Linked DNA regions of Saccharomyces cerevisiae S288C. The protein of the gene in region 1 purifies or fractionates together with the protein of each later gene. This does not show direct contact. Each region holds a gene or a part of one and is shown on either strand. Other genes may lie near its edges. The genes, in order: SCL1 and RPT5.

Region 1 (6,521 bases):
CAATTTTTAAAGACAATTAAGAGAACGGGTTTGAAAAAAGGGTTGTTTTATGAATGGCGTTTCCGTAAAGACGATCAAGGTAAGGATCAAGAAACCGATTTTGTATTAAATGTTGAACCTTGGAGGGAAGCTGAAATATTGGTTGTTACTGGTGACAATTTCGGATGTGGTTCTTCCAGAGAACACGCACCATGGGCTCTAAAAGACTTTGGTATAAAATCCATCATTGCACCTTCTTACGGTGATATTTTCTACAACAACTCTTTCAAGAACGGCTTATTACCTATTAGATTGGATCAACAAATAATCATTGACAAATTGATCCCTATTGCTAATAAGGGTGGTAAGCTCTGCGTCGATTTACCAAATCAAAAAATTTTGGATTCCGATGGCAATGTGCTCGTTGATCATTTTGAAATAGAACCTTTCAGAAAGCACTGCCTAGTTAACGGTCTTGATGATATTGGTATTACATTGCAAAAGGAAGAATACATTTCCAGATACGAAGCTTTGAGAAGAGAGAAATACTCATTCTTGGAAGGTGGATCAAAATTATTAAAATTTGACAACGTTCCAAAAAGAAAAGCTGTTACAACTACTTTCGATAAAGTCCACCAGGATTGGTAGACAGTGAAAAACAACGTCCAAACCTGGCGTCAATAACATGTGTCTCAGCGACAAGCACACCATCCTTTTCTAAAACCAAACTACTTATTTATTATTAATACGTAATCTAACGTACTCACTAATTATTTATTTATTTGACTATAACATCATTGATGAAGTTTATAATGCTAGCCCTTGTTAATGCATGCAGGTTTTGTGAATGCTACAGAGGAACATGTACTTTAAATGCAACATTATCCCTCTTTATTGTCTTTGCATCCGCAAATTTCTTTGCTTAATTTCAAGATCATGTTCGAGAGTTGCCTTTAATCTAGGCATGAAACCCAATTTGAAAAGGAACTCGAACATTATAAAATATGGTGCCAGCACCAAGCTCTGAACTAGATTGTCAATTAACGCTGGCCTCCTTTTCTCAAAGACACCATGGCCAACAAATTGGAAAATCCAACCAATAGTAAACAAACCCAGTTCCTGCTTAAATGTTAAATCAACCCTGTGATCGATGAGTGCAAGATTTAACAAAAGCAAGAGAACTCCTGCTAATAGCCCTGTGGGTAAATACAGAAGACAATAAAATATGGAAAATAAAACGCTTAGCACAGCAGTCAATGAAATACTCTGATATATTTTGACTCTGTGGAGCATACAGCTACCACTAAATAGGATTGTGGGGACAAATATGGAATGGATCAAAACGTTCTTAGGATTGTGGTGGTAAAACTTGTAAAATCCAAGCTGAGATCTTAAATCCAGCAAACCTTCGCCCATATTTATTCTTTTATAACAGAAGAAGAGACTATATTCTCAAAACCTCGTATATTTATATACATATCCTCCAAACAAACTCCCAAGTTTCACTTTCCTGGATTTACCTTGGCATTCCTTTTCCCCATCCTCTTATAATGGTAATCGCGATCCTTAATTATGATATCACAATAGACGAAGGGCACACACCAATTTGCCACCGTAAGGATAGAGTAAGTTAAATGGCTAACTCATTATAATCTTCATGCTAAATCATATAAGGGCAGAGACGAAGCAAAGCGAAAAAAACATATTACAATCATGTCGGGTGCTGCTGCTGCATCTGCTGCTGGTTATGACAGGCACATCACTATCTTTTCCCCCGAGGGTCGTTTATATCAAGTAGAATATGCCTTTAAAGCGACTAATCAAACTAACATAAACTCACTAGCGGTCAGAGGTAAAGATTGTACAGTGGTGATAAGTCAGAAAAAGGTCCCTGATAAACTGTTGGATCCAACTACTGTTTCGTATATTTTTTGTATTTCAAGAACAATTGGTATGGTAGTGAACGGACCAATACCGGATGCAAGAAATGCGGCCCTAAGAGCCAAGGCTGAGGCTGCAGAATTCCGTTATAAATATGGTTATGATATGCCATGCGATGTATTGGCTAAGAGAATGGCTAACCTTTCCCAAATCTATACTCAAAGAGCATATATGAGACCATTAGGTGTTATACTCACATTTGTTTCGGTAGATGAAGAATTGGGTCCCTCCATTTACAAAACTGACCCTGCAGGTTATTACGTTGGCTACAAAGCTACTGCGACAGGACCAAAACAACAGGAGATCACAACAAACTTAGAAAACCATTTCAAAAAGAGTAAAATCGACCATATTAATGAAGAATCATGGGAGAAGGTGGTAGAATTTGCTATTACTCATATGATTGACGCACTGGGTACCGAATTTTCAAAGAATGACTTGGAAGTCGGTGTCGCTACAAAGGACAAATTCTTTACCTTGAGTGCTGAGAACATCGAAGAAAGGCTAGTAGCAATTGCTGAACAAGATTAACATACTTCCTGCCACAACATAATGTGAAATCACACGCGTCAACACTCAATATATGTATGGACACGTTTCATTTAGGATTTATTTTATAGGAAAAAGTAGATCAAGTAATAGAAAATCGAATCTTTTCAAGCCCTTTTGTCGCGTAAATACATCAATACTTTTATATACAAACTGTAAAATAAGTTAATGAAGTGGATAGAAAAAGAAAATAACTAGAAAACATAAGGAATAAAGACGTAAGGGCAATGTTTACAATACTCATCCCAATCTTTTCCGTACTTTCTCTTACATTTTGCTTGGTCTCTGAAGGCTCTGTGAATCAGGACAACAAGGAAGAATACTGGGAAAAACCATGGGAACACCGAGTTGAACCCGCAAGACAAGGCCCAAACGAGAGATTGAGTCCAATCGGCAGTGTAGTGAATTTTTCTAGCCAAAGTGTACCAACCATCAATCAATAGGTACGATCCATTGGAGGTAACCATATACTTTGGATTCTTCAAAATTTGGTATGGCAAAAATGGGAAAGTCTTCCTACCTGTCTTGTCACCAGACATTTGCTTTCTGAAGGCATTTTTCTGAGCATTTGCCGTGTCAAAGAAGTAGTAGGCGCATAATAGAACAACGTACAGCGAAACATTGTACAGTGTAGACCAGTGATATTCAGATGGGTCATGGTAGTACAAATACAACGTACAATGACAGTAAGTGTATGGGACACCGGCAATATTCCAGAAGATCAGCATAAATCCAAACTTTTCGTAAGCCATGTCCCAGGTTGGAACAATCAATTCTTCACCTTTAGCACATGCGTTCGCGTACAACCAATGAGCTAACATGACAACCCCCAATTGTGGTGTCACATAGCCGTAAGTCTCCCACTGCTTCAAACAGGCACCCAAAGTGATAAAGTAAAGGGTGAACCAAGGTAATCTAACCTCGAAAAACATCTTCAAGTCCAAAATCCCCCACCTAGGGTTTAGTGGAGCTCCCATGAAGAAATCATATAGATGGTTTCCTGTCATTCTATGATAGTCATGTGAGATAAATAAAGTCCATAAGTACAATATGATGGAGAAGGCAAACCCTGAAATAATGGCACATGTCATGATCCTCCCAAAACGGTCAATAATGACATACAATCTAAAAAGATTGGTAAAGTGCAAAACCAAGACCAAAGTGGTAGTTACATACAAGGTCCACATGGCATTACAAAAGTAAGGCAATTGTTTTCCCTTCAAATGAGACAATGGTTGACCTTTTGTCCAAATCCCGGGCAACGTATAGTAGAAAATGATCTGAAACACCCAAAATGTTAAGAAAATAGTCCAGTCATACTTTTCTGGGATACCGTTCTCCAAGACTAACTGGTATAGGTGCTTGATAAAGTGCATCCACGATTCACCAGCCTTGGGTAGGGCAACCTTACCGTGATAAAATTCCGCACAAATCCACATATAGTACATTAGCAGTGGAAACCCGATCAGCATACCAATAACACCAGTAGTCCCACCAAACTCATATTCGATTTCATTTGGCTTCAGCCATTTACCCTGAGGCAGGAAATTAACCGGTTGCTTGGACTTTTTCTCCTCTCCCTGCACCTGCAGCTTCTCACTATTATCCTTTGCCATAGCGATGCTAATCTATGTACACTACGTAAATATCCGTATCTGCCTATCTACATAACTGAACTACATTCCTACGTTATTACCACTGTTTGGTAATTTTTCCTCGAGGATATATAATTCTGCTTTTCCATAGTAACGCCAAACGATCGCGTAATACCGGCAATTACGGGATGCACGAAAATAGCGCCAAGGAACGAAAAAGAAATGAGTCTCGTTTAGTTATTAAACGAGAAGAAACGAGCCCTGATTTACATTCTCAGGGTCCAATAGGGCTTTGTTGGAAACAGACGCATACCCTAAATGGAGTTTCTTTTCTTGTTCAAGACCTAATGAGTGGCAATAAGAGGCGCTAATTAAAGCTCTTCAAAACAACCTTATTCGCCTATTACACATGATCAGCCACTCTTTCATTGTCAACAATAGCATGATAGCAGGACCATAGCGGCCATATAGACATTACCAGGAGTGAGTTTTGGCTAAAAAAAGACAATTTGCACATCACTTGCTAACTATTCATCTCAGCCAAGAATATACAGAAAAGAATCCAAGAAACTGGAAGATGCGAGGCTTGACACCTAAGAACGGTGTACATATTGAGACGGGTCCGGATACAGAATCGTCCGCGGACTCCAGCAACTTTTCTACAGGTTTCAGCGGCAAGATTCGTAAGCCAAGGTCGAAAGTAAGTAAAGCGTGCGATAACTGTAGAAAAAGAAAGATAAAATGTAATGGGAAGTTTCCCTGCGCAAGCTGTGAGATATATTCATGTGAGTGCACGTTCAGCACTAGACAAGGTGGCGCTCGAATAAAAAACCTTCACAAGACGAGTTTGGAAGGTACAACCGTACAAGTCAAAGAGGAAACAGATTCCAGTTCGACTTCTTTTTCTAATCCTCAGCGATGTACAGACGGGCCATGCGCAGTGGAACAACCAACGAAATTTTTTGAGAATTTCAAGCTAGGTGGTCGTAGTAGTGGTGATAATAGCGGAAGTGATGGGAAGAATGACGACGATGTGAATAGAAACGGTTTTTATGAAGACGATAGCGAATCACAGGCAACTTTGACATCTCTACAAACCACTCTGAAAAATTTGAAGGAGATGGCTCATTTAGGTACACATGTAACCTCAGCCATCGAGAGCATTGAACTTCAGATAAGTGACTTGCTTAAGCGATGGGAACCCAAAGTGAGGACCAAAGAATTAGCAACAACGAAATTTTACCCTAATAAATCAATAGAAACTCAATTGATGAAAAACAAATACTGTGATGTGGTACATTTGACAAGATATGCCGCTTGGTCAAACAATAAGAAGGACCAAGATACTTCTAGTCAACCTTTGATCGACGAAATCTTTGGTTTGTACTCTCCTTTCCAATTTTTGTCACTTCAAGGTATTGGTAAATGTTTCCAAAATTATAGATCCAAATCCAAATGCGAGATTTTTCCCAGGACCGCCAAGGAAACCATATACATCATGTTAAGGTTTTTCGACGTTTGTTTTCATCACATCAACCAAGGCTGTGTCTCCATAGCTAATCCCCTGGAAAACTACCTACAGAAAATGAATCTTTTACCTTCAACCCCATCTTCGATATCATCTGCAGGGAGCCCGAATACAGCACACACAAAATCGCATGTTGCGTTAGTGATAAATCACTTACCGCAGCCCTTTGTGAGAAATATAACCGGAATAAGTAATTCTGAGCTACTAAGCGAAATGAATAATGATATCAGCATGTTTGGCATTTTATTGAAGATGTTGGATATGCATAAAAATTCCTACCAGAACTTCCTAATGGAAATCACATCTAACCCCTCCGTGGCTAAAAACACGCAGTCAATTGATGTCTTGCAGGAATTCATCCATTATTGTCAAGCTGGAGAGGCGCTAATCGCCTTATGTTACAGCTATTATAATTCTACATTATACAACTACGTGGACTTCACATGCGACATAACGCATTTAGAGCAACTTCTATACTTTTTGGATCTGCTATTTTGGCTATCGGAAATATACGGTTTTGAAAAAGTCTTGAACGTAGCAGTTCATTTTGTTTCAAGAGTTGGTTTATCAAGGTGGGAATTTTACGTGGGTCTTGATGAAAACTTTGCTGAAAGAAGAAGAAATCTCTGGTGGAAAGCTTTCTATTTCGAGAAAACTTTAGCCTCTAAACTTGGCTATCCTTCGAACATTGATGACTCCAAAATCAATTGTTTATTACCTAAGAATTTTCGAGATGTTGGGTTCTTGGATAATAGAGATTTTATCGAGAACGTCCACTTAGTTCGCAGGAGCGAAGCTTTTGACAACATGTGCATATCCGACTTAAAATACTATGGCGAATTAGCTGTCTTACAAATAGTCAGCCATTTCTCATCATCTGTTTTATTCAATGAAAAATTCACGTCAATTAGGAATACATCAAAACCATC
Region 2 (7,300 bases), on another chromosome or scaffold:
TGAGTAGTTGCGGGGACATTGGCGCGCGCAGAAAGAGTGAAAAATTTTATAGTGGAATATAGAAATTGAGATGAGATGAGATACTAAGACTAAAAATAATAGTAAAAAGAAGTTAAAACAGATTTAGAGATTCAAACTCCGTTATTTTTAGAAGGTCATGTCCTTGGAAGATAAATTTGATTCATTGTCTGTGTCGCAAGGTGCCTCGGACCATATTAATAATCAGCTCTTAGAGAAGTATAGTCACAAAATAAAAACTGATGAATTATCATTCAGCAGAGCGAAAACATCAAAGGATAAAGCAAATAGGGCGACTGTGGAAAATGTCTTAGATCCGAGAACTATGAGATTTTTGAAGTCTATGGTCACCAGAGGTGTGATTGCAGATTTGAACGGTTGCTTAAGTACTGGGAAAGAAGCTAATGTTTACCACGCTTTTGCAGGTACCGGTAAGGCACCCGTAATAGATGAGGAAACAGGCCAGTATGAAGTTTTAGAGACAGACGGATCCCGTGCAGAATATGCCATTAAGATTTATAAGACCTCTATCCTAGTCTTCAAAGATCGTGAAAGATATGTTGATGGTGAATTTAGATTTAGAAATTCCAGATCTCAACATAATCCAAGGAAAATGATTAAAATTTGGGCTGAAAAGGAATTTAGGAACCTGAAAAGAATTTATCAAAGTGGCGTCATTCCAGCTCCTAAGCCAATAGAAGTTAAGAACAACGTCTTAGTTATGGAATTTTTAAGCCGAGGTAATGGATTTGCCTCACCTAAATTAAAAGATTATCCGTACAAGAATCGTGATGAAATTTTCCATTATTATCACACAATGGTGGCATATATGAGATTGCTGTACCAAGTTTGTCGCCTGGTTCATGCCGATTTGTCAGAGTATAACACCATAGTTCATGATGATAAACTATATATGATCGATGTTTCCCAAAGTGTGGAACCTGAACATCCAATGAGTTTAGATTTTTTAAGGATGGATATCAAAAACGTTAACCTTTATTTCGAGAAGATGGGTATAAGTATTTTCCCTGAAAGGGTTATTTTTCAATTTGTCATATCAGAAACTTTGGAGAAATTTAAAGGTGATTATAACAATATTAGCGCCTTGGTTGCATACATTGCTAGTAATCTACCAATAAAATCTACAGAACAAGATGAGGCAGAAGATGAAATATTCAGATCGCTGCATTTAGTTAGATCATTGGGTGGATTAGAGGAAAGAGATTTTGATAGGTATACTGATGGTAAGTTTGACTTACTGAAAAGCTTGATTGCCCATGATAATGAACGCAATTTTGCTGCTTCTGAGCAATTTGAATTTGATAACGCTGACCACGAATGTAGTTCTGGCACAGAGGAATTCTCAGATGATGAAGAAGACGGCTCAAGCGGATCTGAAGAAGATGACGAGGAGGAGGGCGAGTACTATGACGATGATGAACCAAAAGTTTTAAAGGGGAAGAAACATGAGGACAAGGATTTAAAAAAATTGCGCAAGCAGGAAGCTAAAGATGCAAAAAGAGAAAAAAGGAAAACAAAAGTCAAGAAGCACATCAAGAAAAAATTGGTGAAAAAAACGAAATCAAAGAAATAATGCGGCCCTGTGAAAATACATTTGGGAATCGTTGTTTGGAGTCGAAGAACAGAAAGTAGGTCAGCAATTTAACGAAGAAAGTTCAAGACTAAAAGTGTAATATCAGTATCAAAAGTTTGGTACTTTTCATACAAGTGCAATAAATATTAAAATAAACAATAGCCTTATTTAGTGGTCTTGATTTTTAGTGAAATCAATCCCAATAACTAAAAACAGCAAAAAAGGCAGGCATCACATTGAACCGCCACCTTGATGTTGGCCAACTAAACCTGCCATTTCCAGTAAGGCACGGTCTTCTCCCAAGCTTCTCAGGTTAATTTGCTGTCTTCTTTTAGATTCTGCTTCTTCCCATTCCAACTGTTTGATTTGCTCTTCTAGTTCTTTCTCACCACCACAGCCCCATACCTCAACATCTTGAATCAAAAAATGCAATTCATAAGGGGAATTTTCCTCCTTTCTTTCCATCGACAATAAACCAGGGTCTAATGAACCTCCGTAACCAGTATTTCTAAACACAGCAAATTCTAATGTGCTGTCAAAAGTAAGCGACACGTTCCCTGGTATGTATCTCTTGGATGCTGGTTTTATTAATGGTTGTTTATCCCCGATTCCAATTCCGCCACCAATTGTATTGAAATAGATCGTGCCTTTTTGGTTGACTTTATAAATATCCTGCCTGGGTGATATTTCTATTATTCTCGTATTCAGATCGCCAAAATAATCTTTATTTGTTACTTTCCACGGATCGTCTATGTACACAGCGAAAGTAGTTTTCCTTTTATTCAAATGCGATGCATCCATCATTTGATCTGACTCTTTCAATTTAGGAAATTCTTCAAGAAAATGGCGGTATCTTGGATTCTTCTCAGCTGCGTATTCTTCAGAATTTGTTATCCTCATTCCGCTAACAACTAAAATCGAAGGCGCCATCCATTTGAACACCTTTGCTTGCAAAGACCTCATTGAGAAGCCACTTTTCCTGCCGATGTATAAACTTTGTAGCTTATGAATAAATAATTCCTTTGGTAGTCCCGTCGATAACTGTGCCAACAGTGCTGGAGTCATAACTTTAGAATCCTGAATAGACGATAAGTTTGTGTCATGATCAACTAAATCGTGCTGCAAATAAAAAAAATGCTCCATTAAATTCTCTAATGGTTTTAATAGATTGGGCATTACAGTTCTTATTGCAGTTGAAAATTGTTGAAACGTTATGGAATGTGATTCTATATCGCCCACCACGTCTGGATTCATAGTTCTAAGGAGATTGAGTGCTGAGACTTTGAAATTGCCCCATTGATCATGAGTCTCTGTATTATCCAATTTAGAATTGGTGGTTGGACAATCAACTGTTAAAATTAAAAGCCAAGTTAAAAACTGAAGCATAAAATCAGCAGGAATGCACAGCATTTCTGTATCAACATCATCAAACCCAGTTATTATTTGTTTTATAGTCAACTCCTTGTTTCCGTCGTTTTCACTTTCTTCGGAGAGTTCTTCTTTGTCAGTTTTCTGAAGTGATAAAGAGATAAACAGCAGTTTTAGTTGATCATAGGACTTGGTTTTCAAGAATTTGGCACATCGTGCCCTGTTTAACAACAAAATGCATTTTAATAACCCATATCCCGTAATTGGTTCGTAAGATGATTTCATTAATGGGAAGTTGCTCAAAACCCTCAACATGTTAGTCACTATCCCAACAATCATGGCATGATTCTGCGGAAAATAAAGTGAGTTGCATAAAGCTTTGTGAGAAATTGGAGTGTTTAGATCTTCAATTTGCAAATTTCCCTTAAAACTGACTAATTCTGGAATAGTGACCTGTTGCTGTGCTTTGTTATTGAAATATGCCAAAATATCTTTGCTATTTGTGAATTTTTTTGAGTGGGAAGAACCCTCTTCGTTACTGGAACTGATTGAAGAAGACTGTCCCATAATACTACAACAAATATTACCTGGTCCGGTTGCTTTAGTAGTACTCCTTCAGTCTGCAAGCCTGTTTAAATTTAATGCTTTGGTAAGATTAATCAATCGTTATATGAAAAGTAGAATGGTGCCGATATCTTACTTCTACCTGTTTTACTCCCTTTCTGCAGCCTATTAATATGTCACTAAATCATCTACAGATGTGTGCTGTATATGGAGCTCTGCAAGTTAAATACTCAAAGCACCCGTAGCCGTCGATGCGTCTTGTTCTCCTACGCTTTTCTCTTTCCTTCAATGCATCCTTGAAAATTGCGAAAGTGCCAACGAAAAAGAAAAATACAGTAAAAAAAAAAGTCAAACGCCAATGAATATATACCTGTTGCTACGCTTTCGGTTTCATCAAATAATAAGTAGTATACAATTAGCCATATACAGTATCAATAATAAGGAAGTTACGCGACTTTAAATAAAAGGATTGTTCTAATATGTAGATATGTGAATGGCGGCTTGATAAATCAAAATATTATTATTTTTATGCATAAAAGGATACCGATTTCGATTTTCTTGCTTGAACTTCACTTATACCCTCAACGAAATCTTCGTGTTTAACGGAAGATTGCCCATTCCTTAAGGCAATCATACCTGCCTCCACAGTTACCGCCTTTAACTGGGCACCATTAAACTCATCAGTAGACCTGGCAAGTTCTTGCCAGTTAATATCATCATCAGTGGTCATTTTTCTTGAATGAATTTGTAAAATTTGAGCTCTCGAGTCTTCGGATGGGAGTGGGAATTCAATTTTTCTATCCAATCTTCCTGATCTTAACAAAGCAGGATCTAAAACATCAACTCTATTGGTAGCCGCCAAGACTTTGACACGATCATCGGAGCTAAAGCCATCCAATTGATTCAATAATTCCAGCATGGTTCTTTGCACTTCCCTATCACCGGATTTTTCAGAATCAAATCTCTTAGTACCAATGGCATCCAATTCGTCAATGAAAATAATAGTTGGTGCCTTTTCCTTGGCCAGTGCAAAAGCATCGCGGACTAGTTTAGCACCTTCACCGATATACATTTGTACCAATTGAGGTGCTGCCAGCTTCAAAAAAGTAGCATTCGTCTGAGCCGCGCAAGCACGAGCTAATAAAGTTTTACCTGTACCCGGAGGCCCGTACATTAGGGCACCCTTGGGCGCTCTAATTCCCATATCTTTGAATTTATCTGCACGTTTCATAGGTAACACAATGGCCTCCACCAGCTCTTCAATCTGTTTATCCAACCCACCCACGTCCGAGTAAGTTTCTGTGGGTTTTTCATCTACCTCCATAGCTTTTACACGAGAATCAAATTCAGAGGGTAAAGTATCCAAAATCAAATACGAGTCTTTATTCACACCTACCAGGTCATTTGGCTTAAGTTTATCAGGATCTACTAAACCGACCATGGGCAAGAAAACAGTCTGTCTAGAAGAAGTCTTGACTACAGCAGCTTTGCCAACAGCGGTGTTATCTAAGTTGACATTACCACCTTGTGTAGTAGATTCACTATTTTCTTTGTCTTCAATCTCATTCATATCCATGACCTCGACAACGTTAGCCACAAGGTACGGTAACTGTCTATTATTCTTGATTTTTTCCTTATTGTCCTTAATCTTCTCGAGCATAACGTTGTTTTCATGGGACAGTCTTTGCAATTCAGATCTAAAAATACGAATTTCATTGTCCAAGAGCTTGGCTCTTGTTTGAAGCTCCTGCGTCGAAAGATTCAAAATCTCTTGATCTAATTCATCGTCTCCTGGTAAAGTTTGAGCATCCAATTCTTCCAAGGTGGCCATCTTAAACTAAAATCAAAACTTTCCAATTTGTTCTCACCTCTATAATGCACAAATAAGTCACTCGTATAAACGTTTTAGACAAACTCCTGATGTGCCCTTTTTACCCAAGAGTTCATTAATGGGGTCCTTTTCAGTAAAATATACATTAATTCATTTTTGCCACCACATATTGGCCGGGTAACTACATGATTAAACCATTGCTAATAAAAGGAATTCGCCAAGGCTGCCGACCAACAACCATTACTGACGTTATTTTTTTACGAACATACTCACTAGGTAAACCAGGTATATATATTAAACATAGTATAAAGTATCAGCCACTAATTGCACTCGTCTCTTTTGGGCTTTCGTCTTTTTTAAATTTTTTTTTCTCTATTACAGTAACTAATCGCAAACAAATCAGGCATCTGTGTATATTCGTTGGAATCTCAATGCCAACGGCATCACATTGCAGAAAGTAGAAGCTGCAAAATACATACTACTGATATATAGCATGCTTATTATCATCACTATATACGTGAATATCGTGTTTCACGAAATTTGCCATTTTTTTTGCAAAATTATTGCACAGGCTCTTCTGGCAGAACTCATCACCAGATCAAATAACAGAAGAGGTTAAACTTGCCCTTTTACTATAGCTTACCTTACTATTCTTTGCATATATTAATCGTACAATATCGTTGATTTGGGGAAGATTGCTTAGTTTGTTGTGGCTAGAGTTTTTGTTGATTGCAGACAGTATACTAGATCATTTTTTTCTTTTCCATCTGCACTAAATTTTTAAACTCATCACTGGTTGGTTACATAGTTGTTCCTTTATTGTGTTCAATACTATCTGCTTTCTCCAAAACTGTAAGCGAGTCCCGCAATTTCGAAGAATTCGATGAAGGAAGTCGTTGTAAGTGAAACCCCGAAAAGGATTAAAGGGCTGGAATTTAGCGCTTTAAGCGCTGCCGATATTGTCGCCCAGTCTGAAGTGGAAGTGTCTACAAGAGATCTCTTCGATTTAGAAAAAGATCGTGCTCCTAAGGCGAACGGTGCTTTAGACCCCAAGATGGGTGTCTCTTCCTCCAGTCTTGAATGTGCAACCTGTCACGGCAACTTGGCATCGTGTCATGGCCATTTTGGTCACTTAAAATTAGCTTTGCCTGTTTTCCACATTGGGTACTTCAAAGCCACCATTCAAATACTGCAAGGTATCTGTAAAAACTGTTCTGCCATATTGTTATCAGAAACAGATAAAAGACAATTTTTGCATGAACTTCGTCGTCCAGGCGTAGATAATTTAAGACGTATGGGTATATTGAAGAAGATTTTGGACCAATGTAAAAAGCAAAGAAGGTGTCTGCATTGTGGTGCTCTTAATGGTGTCGTGAAAAAAGCCGCTGCTGGTGCTGGTTCAGCCGCGTTGAAGATTATCCATGATACATTTCGTTGGGTAGGTAAAAAGTCCGCTCCTGAAAAGGATATTTGGGTGGGAGAATGGAAGGAAGTTCTTGCTCATAATCCAGAACTAGAGCGTTATGTGAAACGTTGTATGGATGATTTAAATCCACTGAAAACTTTAAATCTTTTCAAGCAAATTAAGTCTGCAGATTGTGAGCTGCTTGGTATAGATGCAACAGTTCCCTCTGGTAGACCAGAGACTTACATATGGAGATATTTACCCGCACCTCCGGTTTGTATAAGGCCTTCCGTTATGATGCAAGACTCTCCAGCATCTAACGAAGATGACTTGACAGTAAAGCTTACGGAAATAGTTTGGACTTCGTCTTTAATCAAAGCCGGTCTTGACAAGGGTATTTCCATTAACAATATGATGGAACATTGGGATTACTTACAACTGACTGTTGCAATGTACATCAACTCAGACTCAGTCAATCCTGCGATGCTACCAGGTTCATCCAATGGCGGCGGAAAAGTGA

What was found.
Region 2: the proteins of SCL1 (region 1) and RPT5 purify together in Saccharomyces cerevisiae (affinity purification with mass spectrometry; 3 studies listed by BioGRID, with this or other methods). This does not show direct contact.

The regions. Positions count from the first base shown.
Region 1 is NC_001139.9:470,419-476,939, reverse strand, and holds SCL1 (proteasome core particle subunit alpha 1), read left to right. Parts: upstream 1-1,692; coding exon 1,693-2,451; downstream 2,452-6,521. Other genes in the region: 3-isopropylmalate dehydratase LEU1, read left to right, coding at 1-627; 2-hydroxy-palmitic acid dioxygenase MPO1, read right to left, coding at 871-1,395; ERG4 (delta(24(24(1)))-sterol reductase), read right to left, coding at 2,664-4,085; drug-responsive transcription factor PDR1, read left to right, coding at 4,642-6,521.
Region 2 is NC_001147.6:543,104-550,403, reverse strand, and holds RPT5 (proteasome regulatory particle base subunit RPT5), read right to left. Parts: upstream 5,376-7,300; coding exon 4,071-5,375; downstream 1-4,070. Other genes in the region: protein kinase RIO1, read left to right, coding at 158-1,612; RTC5 (Rtc5p), read right to left, coding at 1,844-3,547; DNA-directed RNA polymerase III core subunit RPO31, read left to right, coding at 6,259-7,300. UniProt on the Saccharomyces cerevisiae protein: The 26S proteasome is involved in the ATP-dependent degradation of ubiquitinated proteins. The regulatory (or ATPase) complex confers ATP dependency and substrate specificity to the 26S complex.